Linked DNA regions of Arabidopsis thaliana. The protein of the gene in region 1 interacts with the protein of each later gene in a pairwise test. Each region holds a gene or a part of one and is shown in the gene's direction. Other genes may lie near its edges.

Evidence for each region.
Region 2: the proteins of bZIP44 (region 1) and EBP interact in a two-hybrid assay, tested with the Arabidopsis thaliana proteins (one large-scale study listed by BioGRID).

What each region holds. Positions count from the first base shown.
Region 1 is NC_003070.9:28,289,880-28,293,781, forward strand, and holds bZIP44 (basic leucine-zipper 44), read left to right. Parts: upstream 1-1,818; 5' UTR 1,819-2,344; coding exon 2,345-2,866; 3' UTR 2,867-3,129; downstream 3,130-3,902. UniProt on the Arabidopsis thaliana protein: Transcription factor that binds to the DNA G-box motif 5'-CACGTG-3' of MAN7 promoter. Involved in the positive regulation of seed germination through MAN7 gene activation.
Region 2 is NC_003074.8:5,703,645-5,707,712, forward strand, and holds EBP (ethylene-responsive element binding protein), read left to right. Parts: upstream 1-1,896; 5' UTR 1,897-2,139; coding exon 2,140-2,299; intron 2,300-2,537; coding exon 2,538-3,124; 3' UTR 3,125-3,440; downstream 3,441-4,068. Other genes in the region: AT3G16760 (Tetratricopeptide repeat (TPR)-like superfamily protein), read left to right, coding at 1-822, 1,263-1,436.

The sequences.
Region 1 (3,902 bases):
TAGTGGGATCTTTTGCCTTTCCAATACATGTCGCATTTTTATTTATTTATTCAATTGATTTTGCGTTATGATAAATATATTTGAGATATCTTAATTAGTTCGATGAAACCTTGGGTATCTGAAAAATCTTCGATTTTGTAAAGAAAATTATGTTTCTGTATCGAATAAAATTAATTTTTCATTTAAAATGAAAGATTTTTTAAAAAAATAAGGCCAAATAAGCATTGTGTGAAGAAGACAAATTAGTACAAATTACTTTTTCTTACCTGTTGCAATGTTTGCAGGGACACATTCATTAATTGGAAATACCTAATTAACGTTAGACTTCACTTATTCGATTGAACCAACATTTTTTCTTTTTAAAAATCCATTTTCAATAATAAAATGACACGTGTCGATCTTACATCTCAACTGCGATGTTTGACATGGGTCCACATGCGCACAGAGCACGCACTCTTTGCATTGCAATTGCACGTGAGATGTCCGTACTATGACGGTCCATCTTACATAATTTTCCTATTCAATTAATTAAGCTATATATATATGTGTGTTTTACAAAATTTAGTATATAATATTATTGTAAGTTATAGAGCTGTAGATGAGTACGTATTATTCTTATTTCAATCTTTTTATGAGATTTATAGATATCAAAGTTTTGCCGAAATGTTTGATTAATTACGAGCTCGAGGATGAACAAAAAAATTTGGTAAAGAGTTTCTCACAAACCATTTCAGTTAAAGCACCAAAACCAAATGATTAAGTAGTCATGGTCCACATGTAATATGTTACACACAATAAAATTATTTTATAAATTGACACGAATTTACGTCTTGGATTCTACAATCCAATGTTATGTAACTATACGTACCACAACACGTCGGTCACATGAAGTTCAATGAGTTAAAGTTTTTGACACCCTTAATGTTTAGATAATGTATATATGTTCTTCTTTTTGTTGTCAAATAGTAGTTTTTTACCGTACTGTAATTTACTCGTTTAAAGTTTATTGTTTTTTCTTTTTGTCTTTTCTTTTCGATATGTAACTTGATATTTTATAGTGGACTCCAAAACGTTATAGAAATATTGTAAAGATAATAATAGTTCTAATTTTGATGCTTCATACGGCGATAAATTCAACGGCTGGTTAGTTGATAGTTTTCTAAACTATTAATTTATTATCCTAAATATATATATTATTTTTTTGGACAGCGAAATTGATTGAATTATTGACAAAAAGATATATGTATAAGAAATTAAATAACGAAAATACCACCTCTACCCTCATTCATGATTTGTCTCATGCTCCAGGTGTCCGTTGCTCAACGGTTAATTCTGGTACTTTGGGCGGTGATTTTGATGTATTAAAAAGAAGTCGAGAACCAACGACAAAAGTTTCAATTATTCTTATTATTATTATCTTTAAGATTCTTTAGCAGTAAAAGTTAGCATTAATACAAAACTATTATTATCAGTGTTACTGTAATATTGTTGAAAGCCATCATTTGACCAAAATTAATTAAACGCGTTGTTTTCATCAGAGAATAAAATTTGAAGATTTTAAAAATCAAAACTTTTCACAAAATAGGATACCCAATACCGAAGATTCTTTCCTTTTCCATATTAAAAATGTCTAAAAATAGTTATTGGTTAATTATACAGAATCATTAATTTACAATTAAACCCATACACATAAATATATAAATAAAATATTGCAAAACAGCTGTAACTTGACTGTTTCGGAAAATCCCACTTCACATGCTTCATCTCTCAACACCTTCTTTCTGATATTCACTTTATACTCTCTTTATTTTCTTATTAAATCTAGTATGCTCTAAACCCTTTTTGCTAACTCTATAAAATCCCCTCACAAATCCTTAATTCACCTCTTCCCCTTCGCTCTCGAATCAATCACTCTCTCTTCTTTAGCGTTTTTATTTTGTCTTCCTCGTTTTCTTCTACCTTTTTATATTTTCTCTCTTTTCAGTTTTCTCTAGAAAAAAACACTAGTAATCAGTTTGCGTTTGATAAATATTTGATGTGGCAAAACTCTTGTGGATCTTGATGTTCAAACATTCATGTCTCCGGTGATTAGTGAAATCCTTAGATCTGGTTTAACTATAGACTCGTCTCTTAGACGCAGGACCCATCTTGTTCAATCTTTCTCCGTCGTCTTTCTCTACTGGTTCTATGTTTTCTCATAAATCAGCTCTCCTTTAGCCCTTTATTATTATATATTCTATAACCATAATAATATATTAAAACTATATACTATAATCTTTTTACATAATAAACTTTGGGTCCTGCGTCTTAATCATAGTACTTAATTTTCTCTGTGTGTTTTAATATGAATAATAAAACTGAAATGGGATCTTCCACAAGTGGAAATTGCTCGTCGGTTTCAACCACTGGTTTAGCTAACTCCGGTTCAGAATCTGATCTCCGGCAACGTGATCTAATCGACGAGCGGAAGAGAAAGAGGAAACAGTCGAACAGAGAATCTGCGAGGAGGTCGAGGATGAGGAAGCAGAAGCATTTGGATGATCTCACTGCTCAGGTGACTCATCTACGTAAAGAAAACGCTCAGATCGTCGCCGGAATCGCCGTCACGACGCAGCACTACGTCACTATCGAGGCGGAGAACGACATTCTCAGAGCTCAGGTTCTTGAACTTAACCACCGTCTCCAATCTCTTAACGAGATCGTTGATTTCGTCGAATCTTCTTCTTCAGGATTCGGTATGGAGACCGGTCAGGGATTATTCGACGGTGGATTATTCGACGGCGTGATGAATCCTATGAATCTAGGGTTTTATAATCAACCAATCATGGCTTCTGCTTCTACTGCTGGTGATGTTTTCAACTGTTAGAAAACTTCACATCATTATCATCGTGAGTGAGACTAATCATCGCAGCAGGGGTAAAACTGTAATTTTTCTTATAAATTATGTGATGATGCTTTGTTTCTTTATTTTATAAGATGGTTAATTAGTGTTTAAAACTGATTGTAATGATAGACAGTGTAAGAAATGTGTGATATCATGGAGATGGTGATGTGAGTTTGGTACAAATATTTTAAGATCTTTTCTTTCTATATATTAAAAGTGAAGAAATAATATTTTGTCATTTTCTTAGAGTTTTCTGTTTCCTTATTTGGGAGTTATTGTTGCTCTTATTAGAAAGATGAAATTTTGGCTATTAGTGAAATAAATGAAAATAATGTGAAAGCTCGTGGACGGTTTTTGTAGATGGCGGTGGTCCATTTAAAATACTATATAGAAATGGTGTGTTGTGATTATTGTGTTAGAGACTATATTTTCCCGATGTGATAAAATAATTATGCATTTTGGTACTTACATCAAAATGAGTTGTTATCATGGGTCACTCGAGTTTTTTTCTTTTTTAAGAATTTTATACCATCTCCATCGAAGTATCTGATTGAGATACTCATCAAATAAATAATAATTAAAAAGAAAAAAAACAAGAGAGAAAGAAAGAAAAGTGGCGAACCGTTTCTGGCAAAAGAGACGATTCTTAGCATTTATTGAGAGTTGTCATTCAACTAATGGTTTATTTACTTTAAACTAATTAAAATATATTAATTTAATTAAAATACTAATTTATTTATTTTTTGAGATATTCTCTACCACTTTTGTCGATGAAGATGCTCTTACGTACGAGGCCATATGATCTCGTTATTCTCAATCATTTCGTTTCTTTGATCCTTTAAATATCTGAATGCCAATTCTTTGATCTCAAATCCCGATCATTCACAAATTCACTTAATATTTCATGAAGTGGTTAAGGGAAATCATATCATTGCTAAACCAGTTCATTATTATGTGTTGTGCCATTTGGATCTGAAATTTTCATAACATACGTTCTTTTTTTTTTTTTTTTTATCGA
Region 2 (4,068 bases), on another chromosome or scaffold:
TCTATGGGGAATTTGGGTGATTCGTTGCCTAAATCTGGTAATTCGATGAAAACTGGTGGTGGTATGGGTTATAGCAGTAATCCGAGTGGTTTTTCTGGTGGTTACACGAGCTCCGGTGGTTTTAATGCTAATCTTGGAGGTCCTTCAATGAAAAATATGGCTGGGGGCAATCTAAATGGGTCTGGTCTTCCTTCGAATAGTGATCCATTTGGTTCTTTGGTTGGTTTCGGATCAAAATCATCAGGAAGCAAACCAGGAAAGGTTAACAACAATGCACAGAATGATACTTTTGGGAATTTTCAAGGAGTGTCGAACCTTAACAGTGGCGGTTCTACGGGAACAACTACTCAAATCAACGACTTTGGGGGTTTCCAGGCTTCGAAATCAAACACATTCTCATCAGGAGGTAGCTTCAATGCTTCAAACGTTGATTTTGGTGTGCAACCAAGTGGTCCACAATCTTCGAGTGCAAACGATGATCCATTAGGAATGTTCTCTAATTCCAAACCCTCAGCTGCACCACCTACGCCACAGACCGAAGATTGGGGATTTGAAAGTTTTGACGGTGGGGCTGGTTCCACCACCGAGCTTGATGGTTTGCCACCGCCTCCACCGGGTGTATCAGCTACATCAGCTAAGAACAAGGGCATTGATAACCAGAGACAAGGTCAGTATGCTGATGCCATAAAGTGGCTCTCTTGGGCTGTGATTCTTATGGATAGAGCTGGTGATGAAGCTGGATCAGCCGAGGTTCTTTCAACAAGGGCTTCGTGTTACAAAGAAGTTGGAGAGTATAAGAAAGCTGTAGCCGACTGCACAAAGGTATGTTAAGAAAGGCACATTTTTCTTTGGATGCATCATGGACCATGGTTCATATCATTCTCATCTCAGATCCTTAGTTTACGAAGTCTCTAGTTGTATTGGAATCAGTTTAAGGACTCTTGATGAAATTGATACTGATAAGAGTTTTCAGGTATATGAAACTTGACAATATGAGATTTAGGTTCTTATGGAATCTTAAGATAGATTACGAGTTAGAAATACTGTGCACGTATAGAAAGTTTTAGTGTCTTGCTTTGTAGGAAAATATACCACAACTAAACAGTTCTTGGGATCGCGTCATCGTAGCTAGTTGATTGGTTGTTATGCTCCATAGATGGTTTCTTGTAGACTCAGAACAAAACCAACATCTTCGAAACTTGTTCTGATTGTCAGTTATGCTTCACAGATGTTTTTTGTTCACTTTGAAAACGTGATTGCAGGTACTTGATCACGACAAGAAGAATGTGACCATTCTGGTTCAACGAGCACTGTTATACGAGAGCATGGAGAAATACAAACTCGGAGCTGAAGACCTAAGGATGGTTCTAAAGATTGATCCCGGGAATAGAATCGCTAGAAGTACTGTTCACCGCCTAACCAAAATGGCTGGTTGATCCTTCATATATACGGATACTACTCAAAGAAAAAAAACAAAAAACCCTCAAATATCTATAATCCTTCACATTGCTTTGCTCAATACCGTTTCCTCTCTCATCCATGGACCATGCGTGTGTGTATTTTTTTTCTGAGATTTATTGGTTCGTCTATAATGCGGCAGCTTCTTGTAGTAAGTGGGTCATGAGTGTATTTTTTTGGATGGTGCATTTATATGTTGTTGATTTTCTTACACACTAATTTTTTTTGAGTTTATCATGAAATGTTTGATCATCGATGTCATATGAAATGCCAAAGATGACCGTAAATTTCGCATCGTAACTCGCAAAGATGAACCTTACTTTGAGACGCTGCCTGCGTGATGGACGTGAGACGCATAACGCATACTATTAAATTACCAGACGCTCGTGGACACAACACTTCAATACCGAAAACTAAACTAATCACATTGTGATACGTTTTGTATTCAGAGAGCCAAAAAAAGGCTTACAATTTTGTCGTTATGTGGATTAGCCTTCAATTTGTTGTAACCGTCATGTATCAAGGAACATAAAACTATTAGAATTATTATTCTAATATAAAGTAATTCATTTCACTCACACTTTATTACCATAAAACATTTATTTTGCGCCTATAAAGGCATTTCAGCTCCACCGTAGGAAACTTTCTCTTGAAAGAAACCCACAGCAACAAACAGAGAAAATGTGTGGCGGTGCTATTATTTCCGATTATGCCCCTCTCGTCACCAAGGCCAAGGGCCGTAAACTCACGGCTGAGGAACTCTGGTCAGAGCTCGATGCTTCCGCCGCCGACGACTTCTGGGGTTTCTATTCCACCTCCAAACTCCATCCCACCAACCAAGGTATGTACTCTCCTATTAATCATAAACAAAAATACAAAATCATTCAAAAACACAAACATATAGTTTTTTCTAACCTTTTTAGCAAAAAGGTAAAATAATATTTCTGGAACTTACGGAAGATGATAAAAAAAAAATATTTGTGGTTTTGGTAATGTAATTTATCAGGATTATTTAATTATCTGTGTGGGGTTAAAATTGTAAATTTTGAACTTTGGGGAATCCGGTGAAAATTTTGAAGTTAACGTGAAAGAGGAGGCAGTGAAGAAGGAGCAGGCAACAGAGCCGGGGAAACGGAGGAAGAGGAAGAATGTTTATAGAGGGATACGTAAGCGTCCATGGGGAAAATGGGCGGCTGAGATTCGAGATCCACGAAAAGGTGTTAGAGTTTGGCTTGGTACGTTCAACACGGCGGAGGAAGCTGCCATGGCTTATGATGTTGCGGCCAAGCAGATCCGTGGTGATAAAGCCAAGCTCAACTTCCCAGATCTGCACCATCCTCCTCCTCCTAATTATACTCCTCCGCCGTCATCGCCACGATCAACCGATCAGCCTCCGGCGAAGAAGGTCTGCGTTGTCTCTCAGAGTGAGAGCGAGTTAAGTCAGCCGAGTTTCCCGGTGGAGTGTATAGGATTTGGAAATGGGGACGAGTTTCAGAACCTGAGTTACGGATTTGAGCCGGATTATGATCTGAAACAGCAGATATCGAGCTTGGAATCGTTCCTTGAGCTGGACGGTAACACGGCGGAGCAACCGAGTCAGCTTGATGAGTCCGTTTCCGAGGTGGATATGTGGATGCTTGATGATGTCATTGCGTCGTATGAGTAAAAGAAAAAAAATAAGTTTAAAAAAAGTTAAATAAAGTCTGTAATATATATGTAACCGCCGTTACTTTTAAAAGGTTTTTACCGTCGCATTGGACTGCTGATGATGTCTGTTGTGTAATGTGTAGAATGTGACCAAATGGACGTTATATTACGGTTTGTGGTATTATTAGTTTCTTAGATGGAAAAACTTACATGTGTAAATAAGATTTGTAATGTAAGACGAAGTACTTATAACTTCTTAACTGTTTTGTGGTAGTCCTGATTCCTGAAACTAATGGGAATTAGTTTGTATATCAAACAGGGGTTCCTAACTTGTTATTATTAGGTTAGGTGGAATAATTCTAGGGTTTTTATTGACAAAAATTAACAAATAGTGGTTTTTATGGAAAAAGGTGATGGTACCAGTATAGTGGGAATACACAGAAGAATTTGCAGCCTTTCTCAATTCTTATACGTATAATTCTCGTATGTCTATGAAAAGGGTTATACGTATGATGATTTATGAGTAGTGAGTACATACATCTTTTTCACTACTTTACATGTAATATTTATGGAAAAGGTCTGATCCGTTTGCTCTATCGAGAATTGGAATTGTGAGATATCTTGATTTTAACAGTTTCAAGATTAATGAAGAACAAAAACAATGGCAACAACTTACAAATTAACATTCGGAAGAAAGAAAAAAACTTACAAGTGAGATCAAATTTGGATTTAGTATTTTAGATGTAAGTTACAAATATTTCATAAACTAATAATCTATTAAAAAAAAATTATTCATTGTATTTTACTTTATACCGTAACCTAAACAATAAAATACAAATTTATAATTGAAGGATTTTAATTGTTTAAATTACTCTTTCTACCATATTTGTTTTTATTTCTTTAAACTTACTCTTTCTACCATGCCATTTAATTATTTTTGATTGCAAATATTGTACGTACCTT